7 linked regions of the Cricetulus griseus genome follow. The protein of the gene in region 1 purifies or fractionates together with the protein of each later gene. This does not show direct contact. Links are inferred from orthologs where the notes say so. Each region holds a gene or a part of one and is shown in the gene's direction. Other genes may lie near its edges.

Evidence for each region.
Region 2: the proteins of Akt1 (region 1) and Mapk8ip1 purify together in Homo sapiens (affinity purification with western blotting; 3 studies listed by BioGRID). This does not show direct contact. The link is inferred for Cricetulus griseus from reciprocal best matches to the Homo sapiens genes AKT1 and MAPK8IP1.
Region 3: the proteins of Akt1 (region 1) and beta-arrestin-2 purify together in Homo sapiens (affinity purification with western blotting; 4 studies listed by BioGRID and IntAct, with this or other methods). This does not show direct contact. The link is inferred for Cricetulus griseus from reciprocal best matches to the Homo sapiens genes AKT1 and ARRB2.
Region 4: the proteins of Akt1 (region 1) and Ilk purify together in Homo sapiens (affinity purification with western blotting; 3 studies listed by BioGRID). This does not show direct contact. The link is inferred for Cricetulus griseus from reciprocal best matches to the Homo sapiens genes AKT1 and ILK.
Region 5: the proteins of Akt1 (region 1) and Appl1 purify together in Homo sapiens (affinity purification with western blotting; 3 studies listed by BioGRID, with this or other methods). This does not show direct contact. The link is inferred for Cricetulus griseus from reciprocal best matches to the Homo sapiens genes AKT1 and APPL1.
Region 6: the proteins of Akt1 (region 1) and heat shock protein HSP 90-beta purify together in Homo sapiens (co-immunoprecipitation; 3 studies listed by BioGRID and IntAct, with this or other methods). This does not show direct contact. The link is inferred for Cricetulus griseus from reciprocal best matches to the Homo sapiens genes AKT1 and HSP90AB1.
Region 7: the proteins of Akt1 (region 1) and Tubb purify together in Homo sapiens (affinity purification with mass spectrometry, with the first as the bait; 3 studies listed by BioGRID). This does not show direct contact. The link is inferred for Cricetulus griseus from reciprocal best matches to the Homo sapiens genes AKT1 and TUBB.

The regions. Positions count from the first base shown.
Region 1 is NC_048598.1:181,401,458-181,404,616, forward strand, and holds the end of Akt1 (RAC-alpha serine/threonine-protein kinase), read left to right. Parts: intron 1-678; coding exon 679-781; intron 782-1,113; coding exon 1,114-1,193; 3' UTR 1,194-2,012; downstream 2,013-3,159. UniProt on the Homo sapiens protein: AKT1 is one of 3 closely related serine/threonine-protein kinases (AKT1, AKT2 and AKT3) called the AKT kinase, and which regulate many processes including metabolism, proliferation, cell survival, growth and angiogenesis.
Region 2 is NC_048599.1:84,351,482-84,355,262, forward strand, and holds part of Mapk8ip1 (C-Jun-amino-terminal kinase-interacting protein 1), read left to right. Parts: intron 1-232; coding exon 233-307; intron 308-560; coding exon 561-892; intron 893-2,235; coding exon 2,236-2,317; intron 2,318-2,505; coding exon 2,506-3,318; intron 3,319-3,476; coding exon 3,477-3,552; intron 3,553-3,781. UniProt on the Homo sapiens protein: The JNK-interacting protein (JIP) group of scaffold proteins selectively mediates JNK signaling by aggregating specific components of the MAPK cascade to form a functional JNK signaling module. Required for JNK activation in response to excitotoxic stress.
Region 3 is NC_048600.1:84,234,274-84,237,758, forward strand, and holds part of beta-arrestin-2, read left to right. Parts: intron 1-540; coding exon 541-571; intron 572-1,183; coding exon 1,184-1,244; intron 1,245-1,356; coding exon 1,357-1,401; intron 1,402-1,604; coding exon 1,605-1,801; intron 1,802-1,912; coding exon 1,913-1,972; intron 1,973-2,343; coding exon 2,344-2,411; intron 2,412-2,548; coding exon 2,549-2,687; intron 2,688-2,921; coding exon 2,922-3,006; intron 3,007-3,300; coding exon 3,301-3,373; intron 3,374-3,485. UniProt on the Homo sapiens protein: Functions in regulating agonist-mediated G-protein coupled receptor (GPCR) signaling by mediating both receptor desensitization and resensitization processes.
Region 4 is NC_048596.1:93,963,498-93,968,323, reverse strand, and holds the start of Ilk (integrin-linked protein kinase), read left to right. Parts: upstream 1-1,742; 5' UTR 1,743-1,768; coding exon 1,769-1,857; intron 1,858-4,826. Other genes in the region: Rrp8 (ribosomal RNA-processing protein 8), read right to left, coding at 916-1,014. UniProt on the Homo sapiens protein: Scaffold protein which mediates protein-protein interactions during a range of cellular events including focal adhesion assembly, cell adhesion and cell migration.
Region 5 is NW_023276807.1:192,715,040-192,719,976, forward strand, and holds the start of Appl1 (DCC-interacting protein 13-alpha), read left to right. Parts: upstream 1-1,809; coding exon 1,810-1,863; intron 1,864-4,937. UniProt on the Homo sapiens protein: Multifunctional adapter protein that binds to various membrane receptors, nuclear factors and signaling proteins to regulate many processes, such as cell proliferation, immune response, endosomal trafficking and cell metabolism.
Region 6 is NW_023276807.1:31,884,835-31,888,886, reverse strand, and holds the end of heat shock protein HSP 90-beta, read left to right. Parts: intron 1-30; coding exon 31-164; intron 165-246; coding exon 247-555; intron 556-882; coding exon 883-1,048; intron 1,049-1,203; coding exon 1,204-1,394; intron 1,395-1,486; coding exon 1,487-1,634; intron 1,635-1,751; coding exon 1,752-2,020; intron 2,021-2,328; coding exon 2,329-2,662; intron 2,663-2,769; coding exon 2,770-2,879; 3' UTR 2,880-3,125; downstream 3,126-4,052. Other genes in the region: Slc35b2 (adenosine 3'-phospho 5'-phosphosulfate transporter 1), read right to left, coding at 3,689-4,052. UniProt on the Homo sapiens protein: Molecular chaperone that promotes the maturation, structural maintenance and proper regulation of specific target proteins involved for instance in cell cycle control and signal transduction. Undergoes a functional cycle linked to its ATPase activity.
Region 7 is NW_023276806.1:229,740,634-229,745,475, reverse strand, and holds the start of Tubb (tubulin beta-5 chain), read left to right. Parts: upstream 1-1,878; 5' UTR 1,879-2,064; coding exon 2,065-2,121; intron 2,122-3,444; coding exon 3,445-3,553; intron 3,554-3,920; coding exon 3,921-4,031; intron 4,032-4,143; coding exon 4,144-4,842. UniProt on the Homo sapiens protein: Tubulin is the major constituent of microtubules, a cylinder consisting of laterally associated linear protofilaments composed of alpha- and beta-tubulin heterodimers.

The DNA.
Region 1 (3,159 bases):
GTGCTTACATCTGTTGGGGTGCCCTTCGGCTCCTGAGCAGCCTTGGGCCAGGCTGATGAGGTATCCACACTGTGTGTTGGGTGCCCTGTCACCAAGCCTGCCCCTACCTTGAACGATCCCTTCTAGGTCACATGCGAGCAGCTGGAGCCCTGCCCTCTGATCATATGGGGGTGTAGATGGCATACCTGCCCATACCAGACTAGAGGTCCCTTGAGTTGACATGTGACATGTGACAAAATCACACCAGATTTTGGGGGGATGGTATTTGAGGAGCCTTGCCTGTGGGACCTAAGGGGATGTTAGCAACCTCTATATATGCATCACTTTCCAGTTTGCCTCTTCTCCCTGGTATGTCAGTGAGGCAGGTGAGCTCACCAGAAGTCTGGTCTCCTTCCCCATTTATAAGAAAACTTGCAAAGAAAGTGACAAGCAGAAAAAAGGAGATAGGATCCTGCTGCCAAGAGATGGGCACAGTCACTACCTTCTGCCCCTTGGGGCTGCCCTGGGTGCCGTTTTCCTTGTCTACAGTGCCCACCTACTTCCACCTAGAGCTGAGCCCTTGTGTTAGTGGCTCGCCCCTCAGGAAGTCAGTATTGCCTGGAGATGGAGAGGGGCTGGAACGCTGTGAATTGGAATTTGGAACGGAGTTGTAACCAGTCCTCTACTGTTCCTCCACAGCTGAGCCCACCTTTCAAGCCCCAGGTCACCTCTGAGACTGACACCAGGTATTTCGATGAGGAATTCACAGCCCAGATGATCACTATCACACCGCCTGATCAAGGTGAGGGCCTCCCTGCTCTGAGGTGCCTGTGTCAAGCTTTATAGACTCCAGTTTGGGGGTGGGGTGGTAGAGTTACAGGTTGTTGTGAGATGCCACATGAGTGCTAGAATTGAACTTGGGTTCTGTCAGAGCAGCCAGTGCTCTTAACCACTAAGACTTCTCTCCAGCCCCCAATATACTCCGTTGGAGGGTGGTAGAACTGGCTGGGAGGGAGCACTCTGAGGGCCAGGGTCACTGTGCCCACGTGTCAGACCTCCGTATGTCCTCCGTTATGTGGCAGGTGGGAGGGCTGTTCCTGCAGTCCGGGTCTGAGCCATCTCTTGTCCCCACAGATGACAGCATGGAGTGTGTAGACAGCGAGAGGAGGCCACACTTCCCCCAGTTTTCCTACTCAGCCAGTGGGACAGCCTGAGGCCTGGGGCAGCAGCTGGCAGCTATCACTCCTTTGCATTGCGAGTCCAGAAGCCCCGCATGGATCATCTGTATCTGATGGTTTTGTTTCTTGGAAGCGCTGGGGAGGAACCTTGCCAGCCTCCAGGACCAGGGGAGAATGTTTCTACTGTGGGCAGCAGCCTACCTCCCAGCCAGGTCAGGAGGAAAATTATCCTGGGGTTTTTCTTAATTTATTTCATCCAATTTGAGGGCACATGTGGCCTCAGTGCCCAGAACAATTAGATTCGTGTAGAAAAATATTAAGGACTTCTGAGACCATGTGCAATGTGGGCTCATGGGTCTAGGTGGGTCCTGTCACTGTTCCATCGACCTGGCTACCCTGGCTGCCACCTGTCTTTAGGGTCCAGGGCCACCGTCCAACCGGAGGGCACCAGAAACACCTCCCTGTTGTATGCTGGCTGGCTCTCTCCCTCCCTCTGGGGTGGGCTGGCTGGGGCTCACCTAGGTTGACAGGAACAGTGATGCAGTGTGTTGCTGCCTATCACACTGTTCAAAGACGTTTTAGGGGATTTCAATCTCGGTGACAGAAGAGCCCCTGCCTCCCCCCTGTGTGGCAGCTCTTGGGAGCACTGAGAGTGTCTGCCTCATGAGCTCTTCTCTTAGCACTTGTCCTTTAGATGCTTTCCTTCTCCAGCTGTCCCCCTGGCCTGTCCCCTCCTGGCCAGACACTGTGGCCATTGCTGCACCATGTCGTTTTTTACAACAGTCAACTTCAGCATTTTTACTATTATAATAAGAAACTGTCCCTCCAAATTCAATAAAAATTGCTTTTCAAGTTTGTGGTTTGCTTTGCTGGATGGTGTGGAGTGTGGAGCCTGTCTGTTGGGTTTGGAGGTGAAGGGATGTGGCTAGGGTCACCTGAGGCTCCGGTGTACCTCCTAATGACAAGTGGGGAATCCTGTCTGTCTTCCCTTGACTTTCCCCAAAGCGTGCCACTTGCCAGCCCTCTTTGCTGTGTCTAGGCAGAGCAGTAAGCTGGACCTGGATACCAGGAAGGATAACAGCATAATGGGGTGCAGTCCAGAAAGGACTCAGGAGGCCCTGGTTGAGTCATATAGCACTTCTGCGACTGAACGGAACTGAGGACCATTCTGGGTTTGGTTGGAGGTGACAGGAGCCAAGGTCATGCTAGAGTGTCAAATCCCAGCAGCCTCCCGATACACTGGGTATGCTGTTGGTGCCACCTGGTGGCTACTTGTAGAACTGCAGCAAGAGATGAACAATTGCCCAGCAAAACAATTATTAGAGGCCCCCAGGTGCTGGGCTCCCTGCTGGTATGGAGGACTGCACATGTACAGAGAGCCCAGTGGCTGGTGGCCTCACTGGGATGGTGTCTGACTCTTGCAACCATAGGACTTGATGATGGCCTTGACCTCTGGAAGACACTATCCTCTGGGTGACTTCTAGAGCCTTTCTGAAGGCACACACAGCACTGCATACTGTACTTCAAGTTACTAGGGATCCATAGAAGACAGACACCAGACACATGTGGTGGTGTACACCTTTAGTCTAGCACTCAGAAGGTGGAGACAGACAGATCTCAAGTTCAAACCCAGCCAGGCCTACCTAGCACTGGACATTGGAGGGGGGGGGGCACACACATGGTAAATAGTGTTCTCTGTGACCCTCAGACTTAGAGCAAAACCTTATATAAATAAAACGGCTGAAATGTAGAAACACAGCTAAAGCCAAGGTTGGGCCAGATGGAGTGCTGCAGGCTGTTCTTTCCAAAGGCACCTCTGGGATGTCTCTAGTGCAGAGGAAGGTGTAGATGGAAGTTTCTGTCCTGCCACCATTCGGTCTCAAATAAACAGAGGCTATTAATTATAAACTGGCTAATGGCTCAGGCATATTACTGACTAGCTCTCACAATTAAATTAACCCATAATTCTTATCTATGTTTAGCCACATGGCTTGGTACCTTT
Region 2 (3,781 bases), on another chromosome or scaffold:
AGGTGCCAGGAGTTAGTGGCAGGGTTGGGTGAGGGAAGTGTTCAGGTTAGAACGAACTGGGAAGAGCTACTCCTCAGGGTCCCCCTTCCGATCCAATTAGGGCCTCCAGTTCCCACTGCAGTCTTCCTCACCCGACTGACACGCACCTTCCCCAATTTGCTACAAAGGCCCTTTCAAAAGCCAGTTGTCTCACCCATCCCTATTGGGGCTGGAATTCCTGGGCGACCCCTAGGTCTCCATAGCAACAGCGGTGATTTCACTCTGGGCTCGGCTTACCACCCGGGTGAGGTCACTGGCCGTTGCCAAGGTAACGGGAGGGTGCAGAGAGTCCGGAGGGGAGACCGTGGGAGCGGAGAGGCGTGGGCGGTACCTTCTGGCCTGGGGACGCGGCCTCGCTGAGGGGCGGGCGAGAGCGGCCCAGTGCTCGGGCCTCTGCTCGGCTCTCTGTCTCCCTCCCCGCGCGGCCGCAGAATGGACTCGTCCGGCGGGGAGGCGGGGCACACCAGCATCAGACCCGCCCCTCCCGCGAGACCCCTCCCCCGCTCACAAGTCCCTCCCCTGACGCCCCTCCGTCCGCGCCGCGCAGCCCCCGCGCACCGGGCTGCTGTCTGCGGGTGGCAGCGGCAACGCGGGGAGCCGGCTGCAGGCGGAGATGCTGCAGATGGACCTGATCGACGCGGCAGGAGACACTCCCGGAGCCGAAGACGACGACGAGGAGGAGGACGACGAGCTCGCTGCCCAACGGCAGGGAGTGGGGCCTCCCAAAGCCGAATCGGGCCAAGAACCGGTGCCTCGCAGCCAAGGCCAGGGCCCGGGCACGGGCAGCGGAGACACCTACCGGCCCAAGCGGCCTACCACGCTCAACCTCTTCCCGCAGGTGCCGCGGTCTCAGGTGAGGCAGAGCTGAGGGGGCGGCGCCCTGGGTGGACAGGGAAGATGGAGGGGCGTGGGCCCTGCTGGTGGGGGTCTAGAACCTTGGCACGGGTGCCTGGAAAGGTTCTAGGTTTTCTGCTGGTAGGACCAGAGGAAGGGTTTGACGGCGGGCAGCAGAGTCTGTTCTGGCAAGGGATGAGTCCAGTTGGCTGCTTATGGAGCCTGGGAAGAGTCGAAAGGGTTGCCAAGGATTCAAGTGGGGAAGAGTCGCAGGGGACTAACAAAGGAGTTGGGTTCCTACATTTGTGACAAGGTCCTCTTTGGGTTAGGGGGCTTCTGTGAAGGTTGAGGCAGCAGCAGGGCCTGGAGAAAAGAGCATCTGAAATGGGATGAAGACGGGAATGGGAATTCAGGGTCTGCAGCCAGCTGGACATCTCAGCAGCTGGACATTCCAGAAAGCCATAGAGATGGGGGATGGAGTTGTTTGACTGAGCTGGGGACCTAGGGCCCCTGGCAGGTGGCTGGATGCCAAAGAGGACTGCCTTGACCCATTGTCTTGTAGGCCTAGGCACGAGAGGTACTGGGAGAGGAGGAGCTGGGGAGGTGGAGTTGCTGGTGTATAGTTGAGGAGCTGCAGAGAAGAGCTTGGTCCCTTTCCCAGTATCCTCTGGCATGGTTTCTGGCCGCTCAACTCATAAATGTGTGTGTTGCTTATGGTGTTCGCTGGAAAGGGAGCCTAAGTTGTGTGTGGAGAGCCCTGTGCATGGGCACTGTGCAGGGGTCCCAGGGGGCTCAGAATGTGGGATGCATGAGCATTCTGGGAGATCCAGGAAGGAGGGCTGCTGACAGTACATCTGTCATTCCTTAGTCACGTGGGGTGAAGTGGGGGTGAGTGTTATGGAGTCATAGTTTGAATGATTCATCCGGGCCCACAGGCCAGCTTATCGGGATACCCTTCCTTGTGCCAGAATGCCCCTACCACCCCAGATTTCTGAGTCAGTCACCCTGTCCTTTACCATGTCTGGGTTTGAGCATCAGAACATGTCCTCCCTCAGTGTCTGTGCTGCTGTCTGACTCTCCTGGGGGCTGTGCTTCTCCCTCCACATCCACTAATCAGCACCCACACTGGCCAGCACCACCATTGCATCTCATGACAGCTGTCTCCAAGCCAGCAGGCCTCTGGGGAGGGTGGTAATTTCCCACCCTGCCTGCCGGCTAGAGGAAGGTTGGCAGAGAGGCCTTTGGCAAGGCCAGATGGGGTGGGAACAGCACAGGGATGGCCTGATGCGGGCAGGCCCAGGGCCTCCCTGTGCCGGGCACTGCTGACCACTTCTTCATAAGAGCCTTTTGTTCTCTGCACAGGACACGCTGAATAATAATTCTTTAGGCAAAAAGCACAGTTGGCAGGACCGCGTGTCTCGATCATCCTCCCCTCTGAAGACAGGTAAGTGAGACCTTTCTCTCCCTGAGCTGGAGACCCAGTAGTCTTCACCTGGCCCACCACCTGGGCTGAGGTCATCAGGGAACCAGTAACTGGCTACAGAGCCTGCTGATAGAGCACAATGGGGAAGAGGAGGGGACAGGTATATGAAGTCGGGTCCAGCTCTCAGTACCAACTTGCCTGTCTTCTAGGGGAGCAGACACCTCCACATGAACACATCTGCCTGAGTGATGAACTACCACCCCAGAGCAGTCCTGTCCCCACCAAGGACCGAGGCACCTCTACTGATAGCCCTTGTCGCCGCAGCGCTGCTACTCAGATGGCACCTCCAAGTGGTCAACCTGCCACTGCACCTGGTGGCCGGGGCCACTCCCATCGAGACCGAATCCACTACCAGGCAGATGTGCGGCTGGAGGCAACTGAGGAGATCTACCTGACCCCGGTGCAGAGGCCGCCAGATCCTGCAGGGCCCACCTCCACCTTCTTGCCACCCACTGAGAGCCGGATGTCAGTTAGCTCTGATCCAGACCCCGCTGTGTACTCCACAACTGCAGGGCGGCCACATCCCTCCATCAGTGAAGAGGATGAGGGCTTCGACTGTCTGTCATCCCCAGAGCGAGCTGAGCCACCAGGTGGAGGGTGGCGGGGAAGCCTCGGGGAGCCACCGCCGCCTCCACGGGCATCACTGAGCTCGGACACCAGCGCTCTGTCCTACGACTCGGTCAAGTACACGTTGGTGGTGGATGAGCATGCCCAGCTTGAGCTGGTGAGCCTGCGGCCATGCTTCGGAGACTACAGTGACGAAAGCGACTCTGCCACTGTTTATGACAACTGTGCCTCTGCCTCCTCACCCTATGAGTCAGCCATTGGTGAGGAGTATGAGGAGGCCCCTCAGCCCCGGCCTCCCACCTGCCTCTCAGAGGACTCCACCCCAGATGAGCCTGATGTCCACTTCTCTAAGAAGTTCCTGAACGTCTTCATGAGTGGCCGCTCTCGCTCCTCCAGTGAGTCAGTGAGCAGGGAATGGTGGGGGGGAGCCTGGCCAGGGAGAGCTGAGATGGAATGGGGCCTCAGATATCACGTAGTCTGTCCGAGAGCAGGACAGAGCTTCCTAGTTGTCCCGAGCTGAGGTCACCTCCTCCAGCCTATTGACTTCCTACAGGTGCTGAGTCCTTCGGGCTATTCTCCTGTGTCATCAATGGGGAGGAGCATGAGCAGACCCATCGGGCTATATTCAGGTGAGGGCTGCCCCTTCCTTGCTGTACTGGCCCACCACTGGCATCCCCTCAGCTGCTGGGGGACGGTATCCCCTGTAGGAACTCAGCTTAGTGACAAAATGCTCAGGTGTCATGAGGAAGCTAGGGCTGTGCACTTAACCTGCCCTGCATAGAACCCACACCCCATCTTGCCTCCTCTAGGTGAAGTGCTCACTTTCTGTGGCCTTTTAGTCATCAAGGCCTAGGCTCC
Region 3 (3,485 bases), on another chromosome or scaffold:
AAGGCACTGCTCCAGGTGTCCTCGAAGCTAGAGGTCATTTGAAAAGTGGCTAGTTTAACTGAGGGTGGTGGTTCACGCCTTTCATCTCACCATCAGGGATGCAGAGGCAGGTGGATCTCAGAGTTGGGGCCAACCTGGTCTACATATCAAGTTCCAGGCCAGCCAGGGTTACATAGTTAAATCCCGGTCTCAAAAGAAAAGTGTGTTAGGTCTGACCCAGACATTGGATAGCCATCTAGTTCCCATCTTCTTCTGGGGACGGTGCCCTCGGGAGAGTCTAGATGGTTCCTGGAGCAACCAGTGGCCATTACTGTAGAGGTGGATCAAATCAAAGGAGCAAGTGTTTGCCCTGACAGTTGGCTTCAAGGGGCTGCCATGTGGAAAATACTGGGACTTTGTTAAAAAAAAAAAAAAGTGGGAAGGGTAGACCAGGGATCCAGGGTGAATTCCACTTCTTGGGCTAGGGAGGGATAAGTCCTGGTGTGGTGGTCCCTGCTGAGTCTAAGGGAGGCAGTGGGGTCTCCCTTTCTGTTTTGTTAGGGTCTTCAAGAAGTCGAGCCCTAACTGCAAGGTGAGTCACCCACAGTGCTTATGCTTCGATCCTTCCTGGGCCCTATCAAAGCCCAACCTACCCCCAGCTGATCCCCAACCCTTAGCTCCCCACTTCCTGTGACAGCTAAAAGCAGACTTCCTTCCCTCCTTAAGCCCCTTGCCACAGTCTGAAGAAGCCACAGGGCTGGGTGGGGACCAGGCTAGGTTCCTAAGCAAGCTTGTAATTCTCTTAGGAACCAACCCAGGGTACTTGGGACTAGGAAAAGTTAATAGTTCCCCAGGCTGTGGCCTGTTTATTGCAGAGCCCTTTGTGGGGAGAGCTGCTAACTGCCTGGTCTGACTGAGTGCTCCCTGAAGACATGGGAACACACACATATACACACATACACCTCTGTCCTTGCTTGGTGGACAGCGGTATGAAAAGTGACCAGAGGAGCAGACAAAAGCCTAAATGAAAGCTTTACTGAATAGTCTGGAAAGCCCTACCACTCTCACCTTCCAATAACACTGGGAGAAACTCCTTCCTGATAACCCAGCCAAGGGGAGCCCAGGACAGGGCCGCCATCTTTGAGGGCTCTGGTGGCTTGCCACCATCCTCCCCAATTTTGCCTGTGACCCTTGACATCCTCAGCTCACCGTGTACTTGGGCAAGCGCGACTTTGTAGACCACCTGGACAAAGTGGATCCTGTGGGTGAGTTTGCCTAGAAGGGGGTAGCTCATCCCCCCAGGAGGGAGGAGGTTCCTGGTTCTGGGGATGGGGAAAGGCCGCCTTCAGAAAATGAATCCACGTCTCCCTTTCCTAGATGGCGTGGTGCTCGTGGATCCTGACTACTTGAAGGACCGCAAAGGTACTAGACCCAAGTCCAGGAGCTGGAGGGGAGGCAGGAAGAAGAAGGAATTCGATGGGTTGGCATTGGTAGGGTGTCCCAGACAGATGGAAGGCTGAGGCAGAAGCAGGGGGTAGGATTCAGGGAAGTCTGTCGTGCTGAGGAAGGATGTGGGCGACATGAAGGATGTCTCTTGATCATCCCACCTTGCCCTCGCTTTCCAGTGTTTGTTACCCTCACCTGCGCCTTCCGCTATGGCCGAGAAGACCTGGATGTACTGGGCCTGTCTTTCCGCAAAGATCTGTTCATTGCCACCTACCAAGCCTTTCCCCCCATGCCCAACCCACCCCGGCCCCCCACCCGGCTACAGGACCGACTGCTGAAGAAGTTGGGCCAGCATGCCCATCCCTTTTTTTTCACAGTGAGGATGCTCCCTTTTCTCCGAGGAGTGGGGGGGGGGGGGGCTGCAGGATTGACATGGGATGAGGCACCTGTTACCAGGGACTGAAACCCCTCCTTTTCTCTGCCACAGTTACCCCAGAATTTGCCTTGCTCTGTCACACTGCAGCCAGGACCAGAGGACACAGGGAAGGTAAGGGAGGGACAGCTATCACAGTGTGTGAACAGAACTGGGCTCAGCAGAAGCACAAAACACAACTGAACCAGAGGGTGAAGTTTAGGGGGGTCCTGAAGACAAGGAGGTGTCCCCATGGACATGGGTGTGCATGGTGTGGTCACTGCATCTGGAACATGTACCTGGGTATGGGGGTTCCTCCATGCACTGCCATGAGCCAGCCTCTGTAAGGTGCCAGACTAGGAGACAGTGGGGCAAGAGAGTCCGTGTTTCCGAGATGGGGCAAAAGTTCACACTTAAGGGGAATGAAGCAAGTAGGAAGGAAGGGGTGTGTTGGAAGTGGCAACAGGAGCCTTGGGTAAGAGGTGGCCTTTCCTCCCCCTTCCAAGGCCTGTGGAGTCGACTTTGAGATTCGTGCCTTCTGTGCCAAATCTCTAGAAGAAAAAAGCCACAAAAGGTGAGAGAAACTTTGTCTCTGGTTTAACAACTCCCTCCCAGCCTTATGGAGCCCCTGGCGCCTGTTGGGGGTAGGAATCTTAGTTGAATTGTAGTGTCTTGGAACTAACCCTTCCCCTGCTCCACCCCCTGACTCAGGAACTCGGTGCGACTTATCATCAGAAAGGTACAGTTTGCTCCAGAGATACCTGGCCCCCAGCCCTCAGCAGAAACCACACGCCACTTCCTCATGTCTGACCGGAGGTCCCTGCACCTAGAGGCTTCCCTGGACAAAGAGGTGAGGTGTAAAAGAGTGACAGAGATGCCACAAAGCAGGCCAGAGCCTGGGGGAGGGGTGAAGCGACAGGCAGGATGGTGGTTTGGGATTTTTTTTTTAAAGGTGGTTGCCTCACTTGGGTGGAGGTGCTATGGACTGGGGTTGGAGGTGGGGCAGAGCAGCCTCTATCAGAGAGGTACCCAAGTTGGAGCCACTGAAGCAAGTGCAAACTGTGTCATCCCCTCCCTTCAAAAGCTGTATTACCACGGGGAGCCACTCAATGTCAACGTCCATGTCACCAACAACTCGGCCAAGACCGTCAAGAAGATTAGAGTCTCTGGTAGGAGGTGGGGGTGGACATGGGTGTGGGGAAGGAAGTCCCTGATTACAAGGGGCTTCTGCTGCCATTTCAGCCCAGGCCATATCCCAGTGTGGGAGAACTACCAGGGCATAAAGAATTTAGTCTGTTCCCAGATGATGCCCAGCCCTAGTGTTTATTATAGGAGGGCTGTTGGCCAGGGGTAGGAGGTGGGGGTGTGCTGCCCCCAAGTGGGGTTCACACCATGTGGTCTGGAGTTGTGGTACAGTAGTAGTCTATACTTCACCCAAAGCCACTTGGTCCCCTACCCCACAGTGAGACAGTATGCCGACATTTGCCTCTTCAGCACCGCGCAGTACAAGTGTCCTGTGGCTCAGCTTGAGCAAGAGTGAGTATGGGACAACCGTGGGACCCAACTTAGGGGAGAATATGAGAATGCAGAGTTCCTTATAACCTATCTCACTTCTAAGGGTGTCCCTCTGCAGCCTGGGGGCTCCAGG
Region 4 (4,826 bases), on another chromosome or scaffold:
GGAGCACCAGAGAGGTTTCTTGAAACAGGAAGGACAGCATCACACATGTCTATTAAAGATGTTCCTAACTGCAGTAGCGATAATAGCCAGGTAGGATGAGGCTGCACACAGGCAGGCCAGCGGCCTGCATTAGAAGGATGGAATACAGATTAAAAGAACACCCTGGGCTGACTAAAAGTCAGGAATACCCAAAGGAGATACAATAGTTCTCACATTCGATGAAACTCAAAGGAAAAGAAAGACCTGTTTTCTGTGAAGCTGACTTGTGGTTCAAGTCCTGCTGCTGATCCTCGGCCAGGCATTTACCTCGGAAATTCTGGGTTCCCCATACCTTTTTTAAAATAGTGATCCTGATAACCATCCCTGCCACCTGCTTTGACTGTGTCCAATATACTTTCTACAGTGCAACTAAGAACCTTTCCAAGCTGGGGGTGCAGCTCAGTAGTGAATGCTTGCTTACCAAGCCCTGGAACTGATCTCCAGTATAAAGTCATGCCTGGTGATAGAAAATGTGGCGAAACCACTCCATTGCTAAAGCAACTCCATTGACTTCTACCCTTAGCGTACGAAAACTTACTTTTCAAACCTTTCATTTACTCTGTACTCCACCCTCCGAACCTCGCATTCCTATCTTGATACACTCTAACTCGGTGTGTTTAACCCCTGGGCTTCTCCAGGTTTTTCTCCATCTCAGGTACGCTCTCTCCTCTGTACCAACTTCTCACCAACTGTATTTTAAGGTCAGTTTTTTTTTTTTTTGGGGGGGGGGGAGTTTCCGGATCTTCAGATAAGGACTAACTCCCTCCATCCCGATCCACGACAGCACTGCAGGCTCTCGGTCTCCCCAACACGCACAAGGGCGGCTCGGGAGGGTCGGCTTCGCCACCTCAAACAGCCCAGTCCCCGGCCGCTCACCTTGACTGGCGGAGCAGTCGCTGGCCGATTCTGTGTTGTCGCTGGACGGAGGCCCACGGCTGCTGGGGCCGCCTCGACCCATTCGGGCTCCTCGAACATGCCAGTGGAGGGCAGGGTCGCCGGAGCCCACGCCACGGCCACGTGCAAAGCCCGTCAGGGTATCGTAGCGTTGGACCCTAACCAAATCCAGCCGGAAGCCACAGAGTGAAAGCCTGTGGTGGCTAGAGCGGCCGGCGCGGAGCAGAGCACCATCGAGTGCAGCTGCCGGGAGCTAGAGAGGCAGTAGGAGGTCGGAAGGGAGGGACGGTGGCCCGCTCTGGCCCAAGAGGGCCGGGCGGGGCGGGGCGGGGCGGGGCCGGGCGGCGGGCGCGGCCGGACGGGAGTTCCCCGGAGAAGGCGCCTGCGGCCCGAGTCCCGGTGAGTGCGGGTGTCTCTGCGCCCTGCCCCACATTGGCCCTGCAAACCCATCTCTGCGATCTCTGCAGCAGTTACGAGCTGGGAGCCGGGGCCGCCCGGGAAGGTCCTCTGTCTCCTCCTCCGGGTGTTTGCAGCTTGTTCTCCCCCCCGTCCGTCCCCCCCCAGCCGTGCTCGCGGGTCGGGACTCGGTGCCCACAGACACCGGCTCAGGAGATTAGCAAAGTCCCTCCTATACCGCCACACCCTGCCTGTCCCTCGCGCCCAGTGGTCGTCTCGCTGCCCGAAGTCCTTCACAGACGACCACTGTCACTCTCGCAACGCCTAGCCCCCCATCCCAGAGCAGACAACTCTGTTCTGCAGAGAACAGAGCAGAGCTCATCCTCTTGTCTCTGCTTTCCCGCAGTCCCCCAAGGCTTCTCCTGTCCGGGACGCCGCTATGGACGACATTTTCACTCAGTGCCGGGAGGGCAACGCGGTGGCGGTGCGCTTGTGGCTGGACAACACAGAGAACGACCTCAATCAGGGGTGAGCTGAAGCGCTGGAGAGTGAGAGAAGGGCTGTCAGTCTACTCTCCGCTACGTGGGGTGCTCATGTCGGGCGGGGGCAGCTGATTTTGCCATCTAGTGTGAAGAGTATAGTAAGCACAGACTGTTGGAGGGGTATCTACATTGAGGAAGCTGTGTCTGAACTGAATTTATTAACTAAGCTTCACATTCAGAGGTTCCGGGTTGCTTTGCAGCCTCTGTGAACTCATGTCAATGGCAGGCCAGAGTGTCAGGCAATTGCCTGGAATTACATGTGGTTGGAGAATAGGTTTCTGTGCCCTGGAGCATTGGATAGAAGTGAAAAAGGACAGATGTCTGTAAGCAAAGTTCTGAAGCTGTGTGGTGATGAGACTGTCCATTTGTCTAATGTCATCCTGGAAGTTGCCTTGAAGTGATGTTTTGGACTAGAATTCGGACAGTTGAAAAACTAGAAGTGGTGAGATTCTCCCAGAGTCATAAGGATGAAGTAATTGACTTGACATGGGAACTGAGGGTAGTCAAAGATGGCCTGGGGTTTGTGAGGTTTGGGCACTTGGATACTTGGAAGTTGCTGATGTTCTGTCTGGACTGATACAGTTATGGTGGCACTACAGCAACTGGGAAATATTGGGCAGGTTGTTGGTTGTGTAGATTTGAATTTCAGGAGAAGTCTGACTTGGAGACCAAGATACCACAAATATCATTTAAATGGTATCTGAAGATTCTATAGTGTGAAAAATAGTACCTCAAAAGAGCAAGAAATTAAAGCAGAGGATTAGAAGCCTATCCAACTGACAGGTATCAACCTTCTGAAGGAGAAATAGGAAAATGGATTAAGATTAAAGAATGTTTTAATGAGCTGGTCACTTGTAGCATAGGCTTCTGAGAAGTTAAAGAACATGAATGAGTATCTTATGTTCTTCAGTTAACTTATATTTAGGTCATATTTGATCTTGTAAATGAAACTGCAGAAAATTAACAGGAACCTGCTTTATACTGGGTTCCTTCAAATAAGGAACACCACCTATAGTGGGTACTAGAGTCCTTAAATCAGACATAATCAATGCCCTCGAGATGGCAGGCTTCTGGAAAGGAGAAAAGTGAATGAGAAGCGAGGAAACGGAGAAAATATGAACACTTTCTAAAATGCTGGCTGATACAGGAAAGAAAGAAAAGTGTTGTTGGGAAAGTTTAGTAGGTGGTTTTGGTTTGCTTTTGGAGATAGGGTGTCATGTAGTTCAGAGTGGCCTCCATCCTACTGCCTCAGCGTCCTGAGTGCTGGGTTTTCAGTTTGCTGTCACCATGTGTGACTAGAAGAGTGTACTTTTTTAGGTTGTAAAGGATCATCTGTCATCTTAGGCCAGGTTTCACCAGTTCCCTTTAGGCTGTGTTATTTCTCTGTAATATTCAGTTTCATTTTTCACATGATTCGTAAGCTCTGGTACACACTGAGACATGTTTTGTTGGTAAGGAAATAGAAGTTTAGGCTGTTGTCCCCAGTGGGAGTGACATTTTGGAAGATTCCTTGCTGTCAAAAGGTGAAAGGGCATCATTAGGGAAACCAGAAAGATTTGGTGGCTTAAGGGGACAGGGTGTGTTGTTGGTGGTGGTTAATATCCTACAGGCTTTCTTGAGATAGAAATCTAGGCCCTGGGGTGACAGTGAGCAAAACTCAGTGCATTTATTTTTGTTCTCAAGCTTGGGCTTACACTGAGGCCAAGACTGCCGGAGGCTGTTAGGTCAGAACACATGAGAAGTCTGGGAGACAAGACTGATAGCAAGGGATATACTCACATCCTGGGAAAGGTTTTGCTGATTGTGTTAGCAGATGAGGGCTAACTGGAGGAACAATTTTTTTAAAGCTACATACCTCCTTCAGCTGTTGAGGGATTCTGGGTGACCAAGTCTGGATCAGCTCAAGGCCCCTCCTCCAGCCCCCTTACAGGAAATGACCACAGCACTAAGGCATCCGGAGGCTGCAAGCCTAAGCCACAGACCGCCCCGTCCCGCCCCTTAGATCTGCATCCCTGGACTGGAGGGAATTTCCTTTTATGGCTCCAGGCTGTCAGTTTGACCCAGCCCACCCAATTGTTTTGTTTGTACACTTCTCTTTATAAAATATATGTTCTTAGAGAATGAAAATACTAATCAGATATAGTTTTCATCTTAAAGCTTCTATATATGTTTTCTTTTGTGTGTTCTGGGTTGATAAGTAGGAAAATCCTGTTTTGTGTTATTATCTGCCTCATCAGTAATCAAAAGCATGTTTTTTTTTGTCATTATATCCCTCCAAAACATTTTAATTCCATTCCATTTTTAGATGTTAGTTTCAATACCAGAGCCAAATAGTAAGCTTGTTCCCTCTCCTAAGTTATGGCCTCCTTCTCCAATATGCCCCTCTCCCATTAACTTGCATAGAAAGAACATCAGCTGTCAGACTCTGTCCTCAAGCATATGATCTAACAGGCAAGACAGCTGACATCAACAGATTCTTTTCTTTTTTTTTTTTTTTTTTGGTTTTTCAAGATAGGGTTTCTCTGTGTAGCTTTGGAGCCTATCCTGGCACTCGCTCTGTAGATCAGGCTGGCCTTGAACTCACAGGAGATCCACCTGCCTCTGCCTCCCGAGTGCTGGGATTAAAGGCGTGCGCCACCAACGCCCAGCTACCTCAATAGATTCTTACAATCTAGTCAGTGTACATCTACAATAAGGAGAGGCACAAGAAGCAGTGGAAACAGAATTAAAGGTGTGGCTAAAAATGTATGAGCTGAAGATACAGCTTAGTGGTATACATAGCATATGCCAAGTATGTACAAGGCCCTGGGTTTGACTCCTAGTACTGTCAATCAAGGAGCAGCAGACGCCAAAGAACCCAGAAGAGTGCTATCACCTAATGAAGAACTGCTAGGGAAGAGGATCTAGGAGATGGTCATTAAAGTAATAAACCTTACAGTTGTTGGGACATCTGAG
Region 5 (4,937 bases), on another chromosome or scaffold:
CATAATTTGAGAATTGTCATTCTTGATTATTATCAGTTATCTTTATCTTGCATTTTTTCCCTTTTACAAATTACAGTTTAAGCAAGAAGGTCACTTACTGAAAGTTTTCTTTGTCATCTTTCCCCTCCACCATTTCTCTGTTTCTCTGGCATAGGGTTTCACTATAGAGTCCTGGCTGGCCTGGGACTCATAGCTAGACAAAGGCTTTCAACTTGCAAGGATCCTTGGGCCTCTTCTTCCTGAATGTTGGGTGACAGATATGTGTCACCACACCCTGCTTGAAAGCTTTGCTCCTCTATAGCCAGTTGTATCCTGCTTGTGCTGGCCTAGTAAAAAGAAGTAGTAAGAATAAGATACCCATAATACAAGTTGAAACCTTTCATGCAATGTAAGTAAGAACTGGCTCCAAGCCACCTTTCTTCAAAAGCCAAGGGTCTCTTCAACAGGGTGACTAGTTGGTAGAGAATCCAAGGGGTGAGTTCTCATAAAAGGACTGTAACACTAAAGACAATTCTGTGACACTATAATACAAGTCTGTCATAAAACTTCTGAAACAAGTTTTAATCTTTCAAGAGATCATGGGGGAAATCTAGTAGCTTTAATTTCAAACATGCAACTTCATGCTCGTTATGACCATATACGGACTTGCTCTACGGTGTTTGGATTTGGTTCAGTTGAAGTAGCAGGAGAATAAGGAAGCTAATGCTCTTCTCTCGGTGACCGTACTTTTGTGAATGACAGTGGAAGAGACTGATGGGGTTAATGGGTAGATTGTTTTGGGGGAAATATTAGTGATTTTGCCACTTTCTCTGTATACTGATAAATACTTTGATTAACGCCACCGATAAATAAAGCAGTGTGAAGCTGGAGAAAAGGATGCAACAAGGCTGAAACAGAAAAAAGAACAGCGTTCCAGCCCTTACATGCCCAATCTCCAACAGTGTGAACGGCACTCTACAGTCAAGGAGAACCGGGAAGCTATTTAAGTCTCTTCCAAAACCTTTTGGTGAAACAGAAATGCTGACGGAGATACGTTCTCCAGCAACTGTGTCTTTTTAATTTTTATTTAAAAAGACGTTTTCCTTTGTGATATATAGGAGATACGATGGCCATAATTTTAGCACATCAAACTTTAAGGCCAGGTAAGAATTAATGATTTGTTAACGCAAGGGTTTTAAACTGAGTGTATGTATTGATAACCAGGTGTGTGTCCAGAAAAAAACGATCTGGGGGTCTACTACCTACAAATTAACTGTAAACCCAATGACACAAGTTTGGATTTCAGAGGTTTGTGAGTTAGCACCACTTTTGCAGGAGTTAAGACTGAAAACTCGAGCAGGGTTGGAAAGGTTATGGGGCCAGGGGTAGGGATTTTTCCAAGGTTGCTGACGAAATATGGTGCAGACATAAAACTGCCTCAAGTTCCCCTCGAGCGCTTTTCACCCCAAGCTCAGGCTAACCGCGCGCGGGCTTGACAGACAGCCCCTTACACTCTCAAGTACGGGAAGATCGGCGCTCACAGGCAGTGCGGTCTGCGCGGGTCGCACCTCTGAGGAGGGCGAGCGGTCGCGAAGGAATCTCCCCGGTCGGCCCCGCGCGTTGACGGGCGTCGCAGCGAGCCAATGGGCGTGCGGGAGGCGGGACTGACAGGCCCGGGAGGGCGGGATTTCCCGCGCGGTGGCCTCTGAGCGCCTGACTGGGGCGGCGGCGTCTGCGAGAGGGCGGGCCGGGTCAGCTGCTGCAGGCGGGGCGCCGCGCCGAGCTGTGGGCGGCTGCTGAGTGTCCTGCCGCCGCCCAGCCTTCGCCACGATGCCGGGGATCGACAAGCTGCCCATTGAAGAGACGCTGGAAGACAGTCCGCAGGTAAGGTGCCGGCGGTGGCCGAGGACAGCGCGCGGCCTAGCGCGGGCCTGGCGCCTCAGGTGCCCGCGCGCGGCCCAGGTGGGCGCCGCCGCCCGGGGTCGCTGCCTGCGGGGACCGCGCCCTACACTCCCGGGCCGGGCTGGAGGCCCGCGCGGCTGGGCCGCGGATGGAGCGGCCTTCGCTGTCTCCGATGGGGCCTGGCTCTTGAATCCGCGCCGGGTCTCCCTTGCATTTCACGGGAGGTGCTGTTTTTATCGGGATGGTACGATGTGGCGAGATAAGTCCTGGTCGTGGCGTTTTCCGAGGAGGCCTGGCACGCAGGGACCGCAGTGGCTAGTTTTCTTCGGAAGGGGCTGCGAGGCCGTGTGTGCAACGCCGGTGGACGCAGCGGTGTGCGTCTTGCTCCCCGCGGTGTGTCGGTGTCCGAGGCTGTCACTTGAGCTGTGCCCTGCGGGTGACGGAAGGCGCCTGGGCTGCAGAGCCTTGGGTTGCAGACTTGGCCCGAATAAAGTCATCAAAATAAAAGCCCTGTTAATGTGCGTTGGGGATGATGCTAATATGGTTGCTCTAGCTGAAGACAGTCTGGGAAAATAAAACAAATTTCCTTTTCAGTACGGAATGAAATCTGTTGTATTTTAAAAGGTGGTCTCTAACTTGCGTCAACTTCATCCTTTTGCCAGCTTTCGTATATAGTAAGGAATATAGAACAGTGTTGCTGGTGGATTTCTTAAATAATACTTGCTGAGAAATATATATTTTATATGCATTTATAGTGGAGTGTGCCCCCCTCCCCCACAAAAAAAGAAAGAAAAGGGCTAGAGCTTGCTTTGCTGGATGACACTTTTGCCATAGATTTTGTGCCGGTTTTGATTTTCCAAGTTGAAACTGGGCTCTGATTGTAGAATTGATTTATTCTTCTCTCATTCTGAAAGCTGTCTTCATAGGCCAGTTGCTCAGACGTAATATCCCCTGTCAGGCAGTATGAGAAAGAGACACCCACATTTTGGGTTATCTCACAGCTGGTTTAAATTTTGCTTAATGACTTTCTCAGTGTAAAGTCTTAAGTTATATTTATTTCAGATGATTTGCAGCAATTTCGTGGTTGTATTGGTCAGCATAATTTTATCTTTTTACAATTAAGACCCAATACACTGTCTGAACTTCTTTTACCCAGTGTACTTTTTATAGCCCATAAAGACTATAAAGAGAATGGTTTGCACAGTGCCCTATCGGTGACTTTCGATGTAGTGGTTATCTTGAATTTTCCATGTAATTAGTTTACAACTTGAGTCAGGCTTATTCTGTAGCCCAGGCTGGCCTCAAACATGGGCTCCTCCTGTCTCTAACTGGTGGTTGCAAGCTTGAACCACAAGTACTTTCAGTTGTTGTTGTTTTTAATTTAAAATTTGTTTTTATATATATGGGTGTTCTGGCTGCATGTGTTTGTGTACCACTTGTATGCTTGCTGTCAGTAGAGGGTATTGGGTCCCCTGGAACTGGAATTACTAATGTTTGAGAGCCACTGCGTGGGTGCTGGAAATTGAACCTGGATTGTCTAGAAGAGCAGTAAAAGTGCTAACCACTGAGCCATTTCTCCAGCCCCTGTTTTTTAATTTAAAACAATGATTTTTTTGGGGACTGGAGACTGGACCCAGGACCTTGCACTTGGTAGGCAAATGCTGTACCACTAAGATAAATCCTCAATTTTGCTTTTATTTTTTGTGTGTATATGTGTTGTAATGTATGTGTTTGCATGTCTGTGTATGTGTGCTCATGTGAACGGAGGCCAAAAATTGATTTATCTTCCTTGATTGCTTACCATCCAGGATCTTTCTCTGAACCCTGGGTTTGTTAATTCAGGTAGTCTAGGAAGCCAGCTTGCCCCAGGTATCCTGTCTCTGTCTTTTAAGTGTTGAGAGTACATGTGACCGCTGCACATGCCCAGTTTTTCCATGGGTTCTGGGGAATCTGGACTCAGGTCCTCAAGCTTGCAGGGTAAGGGCTTTATCTACTGAGCCATCTTCCCAGCCCTATTGTATGTGATTATGTGTGTGCTGCTGCTCTTGTATATGCATGCATGTAGAGGCTAGAGGACAGCCTCAGGTGTTGTTCCTTCTCAGCTTCTACCTAGCTTGTTGTTTTTGAGATAGTGTCTACCCTAGAGATCTAGGTCTCTGATGGGATCATGTAGGCTAGGCTGGCTGGGCAGCAAGCCCTAAGGATCTGCTTGTCTACGCCTTCCCAGCACTACGATTACATGTACCTGCCACCATACCCACCTTTTTTACCTGGGTGCTTGATAGCTAAAATGTCTTCACAATATTCTCAATTAAAAATTTCAAGCCTGCATATTTCCTTAGGTGGTTTAACAGACATATTTTAAAATGTTTTTATTAGCATATATTAATAACATAACAATGAATTTTATTATGACATTCCATTTTTATTGTATTTGCCCATTACCTCTATTGTTTCCCTTTCTCTTCCTAACTAGATCTCTTACTTGTGTCTTTTAAAAATATTTTTGTTTTGTTTTGAGAGGAAACTCTTGTGTTGCTAGGTGGAGAGTTCCCTCTGCCTCAGTTTGCAGAATAGTTGGGACTATAGCAGGTGTACCATATCCAGCTCCCATTGTTGTACTTTTAGAGTTTCTCCGAAGTTCTGCTTTTGTAAATAGGGCTGAGCTTAATGCTTTTGGGACCATTCTACAGATGTGGAGGGGTTTTTTATTGGGGGAAGTGAACTGAAGGGGAGAGGGGAGACTGGCTTCTGGGGACAGGAGTGGCAGAAGAGAAGAGACAGGTAGAGAGAGAGAAAGATGGGAGGTGGGCAGGTCCCTTTTAGAAGGGAATGTAGTGAATGTACAGGTGGTGCTCTTTTTTAAAATTTTTTATATATTTGAATTACAAGCAAGATTGAATTACATGATGATCCCAGTTTCCTTCTCCCTCCCTTCCTCCTCTACACCCCCCCCCTCGCCACCCCAGGTGGTACTCCTAGTGGCTGCTGAGTGCAGGCCAATACAGATGCCTGAATACTAACAATAGCTTCTCCAGCCCCAACAAATGTCCTAT
Region 6 (4,052 bases), on another chromosome or scaffold:
GTCTTGATTCTATCATTCACTTTTTTATAGGTGAGCCCATTGGCCGGGGTACCAAAGTCATCCTTCATCTCAAAGAAGACCAGACAGAGTACTTAGAGGAGAGGAGGGTCAAGGAAGTGGTGAAGAAACACTCGCAGTTCATAGGCTATCCCATCACCCTCTATGTGAGTATGGACTTGGCAGTATTTGAGCAGTCTTTGCTGGTGATAAGTTCTCCACAACTCATTATCCAATTTGGTAATTTAGTTGGAGAAGGAACGAGAGAAGGAGATCAGTGATGATGAGGCAGAAGAAGAGAAGGGTGAGAAAGAGGAAGAAGATAAGGATGATGAGGAAAAGCCAAAGATTGAAGATGTGGGATCAGATGAGGAAGATGACAGTGGCAAAGATAAGAAAAAGAAAACAAAGAAGATTAAGGAAAAATACATTGATCAGGAAGAGTTGAATAAGACTAAGCCCATTTGGACCAGAAACCCTGATGACATCACTCAAGAAGAATATGGTGAATTCTATAAGAGCCTCACCAATGATTGGGAGGACCACTTGGCAGTCAAGGTGAGAAACCTTACATGGTATGTTAATTGGAGGGGTACATAGAATGTGCTGGAGGTGGTACCAAGCAGCTTGTTCAACTGGACATCATGACTGTCTCTGGGAACTACTCAGGCCTTGCTTGGCAGTGGTTTAATTCACTTTTTTACCTTCTGGTGGTGGCCATGACTGCCATGGAGGGATACTTTTTGCTACTAGTATTCTAGGTTTACTTAGTATTTGAGCTAGTTTCTCATCGTAGGGTTTTTGGGGTGTGGCATTTCAGTGATAGATCTCTGATACTGGGACTTGAGGTGATGTTGTCCTGAAATGTACTACTGGGTTTTTCAGCACTTCTCTGTAGAGGGTCAGTTGGAATTCAGAGCATTGCTCTTCATTCCTCGGCGAGCTCCCTTTGACCTTTTTGAGAACAAGAAGAAGAAGAACAATATCAAACTGTACGTCCGTCGTGTGTTCATCATGGACAGCTGTGATGAGCTGATCCCCGAGTACCTCAGTGAGTATACCTTCAGCATACAGCTGAGACTATCTTTAACCCAGATAATTACAGTCCTTGGCTTCCCAAACCTTCACTTGGCTGGGTGACTTAAATCTGATAACCAGACCAGGTCTGACCCACCTCACCTGTTCCTTGGCTCTGGTTGATTGTAGACTTTATCCGTGGCGTGGTGGACTCTGAGGACCTGCCCCTGAACATCTCTCGAGAAATGCTCCAACAGAGCAAGATCCTGAAAGTTATCCGTAAAAACATTGTGAAGAAGTGCCTTGAGCTCTTCTCTGAGCTGGCTGAAGACAAAGAGAACTATAAGAAATTCTACGAGGCCTTCTCCAAGAACTTAAAGGTATAGTGAGCAAGTGATTTTTCTTCTGATGACTTTGTGTTGAAAGTATTTTTTTCAGCTCATATTTGGACTTTTCTTTCCTACCCTTAAAGCTTGGAATCCATGAAGATTCCACTAACCGTCGGCGTCTCTCTGAGCTGCTGCGCTATCATACCTCTCAGTCTGGAGATGAGATGACTTCCCTGTCAGAATATGTGTCCCGCATGAAGGAGACACAGAAGTCCATCTATTACATCACTGGTATGTTGGAGGGAGCTTGGGTCTGAGCACAAAGCTGCCTTGAAGGTGTGGGATTGGGGAAGACAGGACATGTTGCAGTTATAAAGGCCTTTGGTCACTGAGTCTTTAATCCTATAGGTGAGAGCAAAGAGCAGGTAGCCAACTCTGCCTTTGTGGAGCGTGTGCGGAAGCGAGGCTTTGAAGTGGTGTACATGACTGAGCCTATTGATGAGTACTGCGTGCAACAGCTCAAGGAGTTTGATGGAAAGAGTCTGGTCTCAGTGACTAAGGAAGGCCTGGAGCTGCCAGAAGATGAGGAAGAGAAGAAGAAAATGGAGGAGAGCAAGGCAAAATTTGAGAATCTCTGCAAGCTCATGAAGGAGATCTTGGATAAGAAGGTTGAGAAGGTAAGTTTGTTGGAAGTTTGTCCTCTAGAAATGTTATGCTGTTGTACAGTTAGTGTGGGGCCCTTCCCCCAGCAATACTGTATCTGTTGGTGAAGTAAGAACTTTTTTTCATATAACAGTGATTACACCATCTAAATCATACATGCAAGAAAAGGCCTTGTTGTGTGTTTCCCTGACCCTAACCCAGCATCCAGAGTAGCAGCTGAAGTTTTGTCATTCCACAAAGAACTTTTTATGTGGCTCCACATGGAGTGTGTGTCAGGACAGCCAAGGCTACATCTTGTGACTGACCATTTGGTTGTCCACAGGTGACCATCTCCAATAGGCTAGTGTCTTCACCCTGCTGCATTGTGACAAGCACCTATGGCTGGACAGCCAACATGGAGCGGATCATGAAGGCCCAGGCACTCAGAGACAACTCTACCATGGGCTACATGATGGCCAAAAAGCACCTAGAGATCAACCCTGACCACCCCATCGTGGAGACTCTGAGGCAGAAGGCTGAGGCAGATAAAAACGACAAAGCTGTCAAGGATCTGGTGGTGCTGCTGTTTGAGACTGCTCTGCTCTCCTCTGGTTTCTCACTTGAGGATCCCCAAACCCACTCCAACCGCATCTACCGCATGATCAAACTAGGCCTGGGTGAGTCAGCCTTGTGAGCCACATAGGTGGCAAGTTGTTGGACTGGCTGGATCCCCGCACAGACTTAGTACTACCATTTTGCTCAAGATTTATTTTTCTTTTTCTAGGTATCGATGAAGATGAGGTGACAGCAGAGGAGCCCAGTGCTGCTGTTCCTGATGAGATCCCCCCACTCGAGGGTGATGAGGATGCCTCCCGCATGGAAGAAGTAGATTAGAGATCCCCTGGGAAGACCATGTCCTCTGTATAGTTTCCCTGAGCCCCACCCCCCATGCCTTGGCTGGCCCCAACCTACCTGGCTCTCTGTTCAAGCTAGAGGATCTCTTTATCCTGTCCTTGTGCCTTAAGGCAGGAAAGTCCCCTCCCACAGAATAGCAGGGTTGGGTATTGTGTATTGTGGTTTTGTTTGTTTTATTTTGTTCTGAAATTAAAAGTATGTGAAAATAAAGAAAATGCAGTTTCATATAGTACTATTCTCCTTGTAAAGTACCACTCAGGATGGGAGGTAGTTCCCCTTTCAACCAACCAACACACGGCCAAGTCACTGCTGCAGTTTTAATCAAATAAGAGCAAAAGGTGACATTCCCAAGTAGCAAAACTTGAGCAAGGAACACAAAGGCCCCAAAGGGGCTGGGCAGGGCTTTGTTTGGCACAGCACCATTTTCACTAGTGTGCCCCCCTACCCCCCAACCACATTAGGACCTGTAAACTTTGTGCTGCTCTTGACCAGCTATGTCTGGCAGTCTTGCGGGTTGGGTGTTAAAGGAAAAACAAGCAAAGGCTAGGTGCTGGTTTACAGTTCTACCAGCTAAACCAAGGTCTCAGGTTGTGGGGAGGAGCTCTATCTGGATTATCTCCATAACTCAGACCCACAACTACCAAGTAAGTAGGTGGGGCTCTTAAGGCAAAAGAGGCTGCCTCCAGGGCTCCAATCCTCTGCTGTACACTGAGATGTTGAAAATAATTTTGCCCTTGAGTCAGCGCCTCTGATAAGCTACAGAAAACCAGAGTGAGGGTCCTTAGTCCTCATACCTTCTGCACTGGGGGCTCAGTTGGTACAACCTTCTTTCCCCGCTGCTTACGGCCCCGGGCATAGACTCTGAGTAGGAGGGCAGTGAAGACCACAGCCACTCCCAGTCCCCCCACCACAGTGACAGTGTGGCCATAGAGGAGGCAGGAGAGAAGGATGGCAATAGCCTGGCGGAGAGTCATGATGATGGTGAAGACAGCAGCTCCAAATTGTCCAATGGTATAGAAGATGAAGAGCTGGCCAAAGGCAGAGCAGATGGAGAGGAGGAGGGCATGAAGTGCAAACTCACTGTGCCGTCCCATAAAGCGGGCTCCCTCCAGGAGGGCCCCCTGCTCCAGTAGTGAGCCTACTGTGAAAAGA
Region 7 (4,842 bases), on another chromosome or scaffold:
CAGACGTTTGTTTGAAGCTGTAAGTTGGATTCCTTCCCCATGTTCCTACTGCTAACGGGACAAATTCAAGTAACACAAAATTGATCTCTTTCCTTATTATCATGACCCAAATTAATTGTGTTTTTAATGAATGAAGGGGTATTAATGCTATTTAATGTTCCTTTATTTAAAAGGTAACTTGAGCTGTGTATGGACTGAATGTCAGCAATGTCTTTGATACATTTTCTCTCTGACAAAGGGTCTCACTATGTACCTCTGGCTGGCCTAGACCAGGTTAGCAGTGAACTCATTGATCCTCCTGCCTGTCTGTCCACACCTCTCCTTCACGACCTGATACTGCTTACCACACCCCTTCCTTTGTTTTCTCTTTCTTGAGGAGGTATTTACTCATGTGTATTAGAATTTTGTCTGGATGTCTGTCTCTGCACTATCTGAGTGCCACATGCCTGCCGAGGGCGGAAGGGGGTGCCGGGCTCCCTGGAACAGGACTTACCCATAGTGGAAAGCCTTAAATAGTGATGGGAATCGAACCTGGCTCTTTTTCCGAGGACAAATGCTCTTAATTGCCGAGTCATCTCTCCAGCCCCGTGTGTGGTTTGTTTTCAAGACAGGCTCTCACTTTGTAGACCAGGTTAGCCTTCAGCGTACAAGAATCCTTCTGCCTCAACCATCCTACTGTGTGGGAGGTTGGACACAAACTAATTTTCCACTCATTTATTTATTATTTATTTATTCTGAAACTGGGTCTAAAGCTGTACCTCGGGCTGTACAGGAACTCTCTTAAGTAGCCCAATTGACCTTGTACTTCCTGAGATCTTCCTGCCTTGGAGTTACAAAGCAGGTGTTAACCGTGTGAACCACCCCTGCTGACTCTTAGAATCATTTTGTATCCCTCTTACACTTTCAGGATACTCAGTTTCTATCAAATGAAACCCTGGGAAAAGCTTCTGGGCTCTGACTCCCATTTCTCAGTTCCTGGACTCTGCCACAGCCTCCCGTAACGAATAGAACCAACCAACTGAAAACGACCACTTGGCTTCCTTCACCCAAGTGTCTTGAGAAGCATCCCATTTCATCGTCTGTATTGATAGGACGACCATGGTGTCTTCAGCGTGGTCCCAAAGGCCCAACCCCACCCCACCCCCGCCGCCGAGGTTTACAGCTTTCTCTCTCTCTCTGAACATCGGTCCCAAGCAACACTTCTAGTCTGAAAAATCCTTGCAATTTTGTTTCTCTCTCGAAACATCCTTGGGACAACTCCCTTAGGAGCCGGAGGGCCATCCTTTCTTCTGGAGGGATGCGAGGGAGTGCTGCTCACTGAAGTTACTGTCTTGGGACCACAAAGAACTAGATAGTAAGATCAGGGCAGGGTGCCACATTTCTCCGGACTTTCCGCTGAGCTATGCAGTCCGCCTTTACCAGAGCCACTGCGGTGGGCAGCTTGCAGGGCGCGCCCATCCCATCTCCAATTCAGGGCACCTCAGACATCCCAATTACCGTTAAGTCCCAAAACTTCTTAGAGCACAAAAACCTCTCTCAGGAACAGAGGATAGGAATCTCGTGCGAGGTCACTTTCCATTAAAAATAAATACAATCACACCCACACGAAAGGTACCCACTAAACCTCCCACAGTATCCACCCATGCCTAACTTCATATTGCAGCGTGGACAATAGAGAACTACAACTCCCAAAAAGGACTGCGCTCGCCACTGGCTCACAGACCAATGGTCGGCTGGCACGTGATCGGCGGATCTAATCAGCGGCAGGCTGGAGAGGCTTTGTCTGCGACCAGGGGCTCCCGCCTATCTCCCGCCCCCGGCTGCGCGAACGCGCGCCCCGCCCTGCGCGCCTTCCCTCCTGCGCTCGCCGGCCTCTTCTGCCTCTTAGAACCTTCCTGCGGTCGTGCTCGCATCTCTCTGCTGCAGCCTCCGGAGCCACGTTCCATCCCTTCAGCCTGAGACCAGCCAAAAAAAAAAAAAAAAAAAAAAAAAAGAACCAATTATCTTTTCTTGCTCGGTACCTACCTTGAAGCCAGCACAAATTTATTACAGTAAACCGTAGCCATGAGGGAAATCGTGCACATCCAGGCCGGCCAATGTGGCAACCAGATCGGTGCTAAGGTAAGAATTTTTAAATTGGTACCGGATACGCGTGAGGATGAGAAATCCAGGTTAATCATGATTAATGTTACCGGGTGTTAGCATTCTCCCTCCGCCGGCTTTGGCCCCTCAAAGTTCTGCGCGAACAATTATAACCCATATTTGTAGCTTGCGTTCTGAGAAATATTTATCTTGGCACATTTTCCGAAAGCCATTAAAAGAGACGCCTGGGTTTAGGGGACGGAGAGTCTGAGGAGGGACTGGAGTGCTTATCTAAAAGAGGGGATTTCTAACGGTTCGAGAACGGGAGAGGAGAGATGCGGAAACGATCCGAGACAAAGCCGAAGCGAGGTTTTCCCCTTGCGCCACCCCCACCCAGCCTGGAGGGCCTTAGCGGAGCAGGACTGGCGGGGGCAGGGGAGAGGTTGGGCGGGCAGCTGCAGAGGTCTCCGGGCCGCATCACCGCTCGACAAAGGCTTGGAGACCCTCGCGATCTCGCCATCCCCTGGCTCGCTTTTAGGTGGATGGTGATGATTCCGTGCGGGGGGCTCCTTTTACTTCATTGCCGTTAAGAAATCTTAGGGTGTGACCTGATGGGAAAGTGAGAGGTTTGTGTGTCTATAAGAGGTCCCTCGGGACTATGTGTGTGTTTGGGGGAAAGCTATTTAGGGAAGAGAAGGTAGCAAAAGCAAAAAAAAAAAAATCTGAGGCCATGGTTTTCTCTTTTTTTTTTGCGCGCAATTACAATGTAGCGGGGGATGGGTGGAGAGGAGGAAGTGCGGCCGCTAGATTGTAGCCGAAGGGTGGGACCCTTTGGGGGCGGGGCTAGCGCCCCTGGCGCGCAGGGACAATGCAGCCCTTGCTGGCGGGGGCGCGCTGGCCCCGCCCCTCGTGCCAGGCCCCGCCCACGCTGCTCCCGCCTTTGTGGGCTGCTGGAAGAGCGGCCCGCCACCGCAGTCACGTGGAACGCGTAAGGGGTGGGCGACTGCAGTGGCCGCACCTTCCTACCCCATCCCTCTTTTGTGCTGGCCTGGAGGGGCGGTGCCCACCCTGAAGCGCTTGGCTGGGTGCTGAGCCGAGGGGGCGGATGGCAGTTCAGTCAGCCCATATGGGTGCTTGCAACCCTCAGCCCCTTGAACTGTCCATCACTTGACCAGGGCCACAAAGGTGGCGACCTTCCCCGGTTGGAGGTTCGGTCGTGGAGGCTCGGCAGGCAGATAACGGAATTGCAGTATCAACCCGTCCGCCTCGTTTGAGCACGTCTAGAGTTGAAATGCGGGCGGGGAGGCATCCCTTAGGACTTCAGCCATTGAGGCCTGGCTCATTGCTCATTGCTCTGTCTAGTTCTGGGAGGTGATCAGCGATGAACACGGCATCGACCCCACCGGCACCTACCATGGAGACAGCGACCTGCAGCTGGACCGAATCTCTGTGTACTACAATGAAGCCACAGGTGAGGGAGGGAATCCAGCTTCTTTTTTCTCTGTTAACACTTATCCCTGGTCTTTTTAAACCCTGCGCCCTTCTGTTGAGACAGGGTCTCGTTATGCAGCCATGGCTGCCCTGGAACTTACCTCCCTAATGCTGCTTTTAAAGGCGGCCGCACCACGCCCTGTTTTCCCACGTTAAGTGCCTGTTAACCCGGTTGCTGGGGTCTCACCCTTTTCCATTAGACACCCACCATAAGTGGGCCAAAGATTAGCTCTGCTGCCGCCGGGTGGCAGTGCCTGGAATGGCAGTTTAGTGGTTTGTGGTATTTCCCACCCCAGATTTCATCCTCGCTGCAGAGGGCTCTGACAGTTCTACTTGAATCCCTGTAGGTGGCAAGTATGTCCCTCGGGCCATATTGGTGGATCTAGAACCCGGGACCATGGACTCCGTTCGATCAGGTCCTTTTGGCCAGATCTTCAGACCAGACAACTTTGTTTTCGGTGAGTTACATGGAATGAATTCCTTTGTACCCAAGGGCATGATTCCAGAGGTGAAAGGTGAAGATTAGTAATGATAATGACGTAATTTTTTTCCCTTCTCACCACATTCCAGGTCAGTCTGGGGCAGGCAACAACTGGGCTAAGGGTCACTACACGGAGGGAGCTGAGCTGGTTGACTCTGTCCTGGACGTGGTGCGGAAGGAGGCAGAGAGCTGTGACTGCCTGCAGGGCTTCCAGCTGACCCACTCGCTGGGTGGAGGTACCGGTTCTGGTATGGGCACCCTGCTCATCAGCAAGATCCGAGAAGAATATCCCGACCGAATCATGAATACCTTCAGTGTGGTACCCTCACCCAAAGTGTCTGACACCGTGGTGGAGCCCTACAATGCCACCCTGTCTGTCCATCAGCTGGTGGAGAACACCGACGAGACCTACTGCATCGACAACGAGGCCCTGTACGACATCTGCTTCCGCACTCTCAAGCTCACCACGCCGACCTATGGGGACCTCAACCACCTCGTCTCGGCCACCATGAGCGGGGTCACCACCTGCCTCCGCTTCCCAGGCCAGCTCAATGCCGACCTCCGCAAGTTGGCGGTCAACATGGTCCCCTTCCCACGTCTCCACTTCTTCATGCCTGGCTTTGCCCCTCTCACCAGCCGTGGGAGCCAGCAGTATCGGGCCCTCACTGTGCCTGAACTCACCCAGCAGGTCTTCGATGCCAAGAATATGATGGCAGCCTGTGACCCCCGCCACGGCCGATACCTCACCGTGGCTGCCGTCTTCCGTGGGCGGATGTCCATGAAGGAGG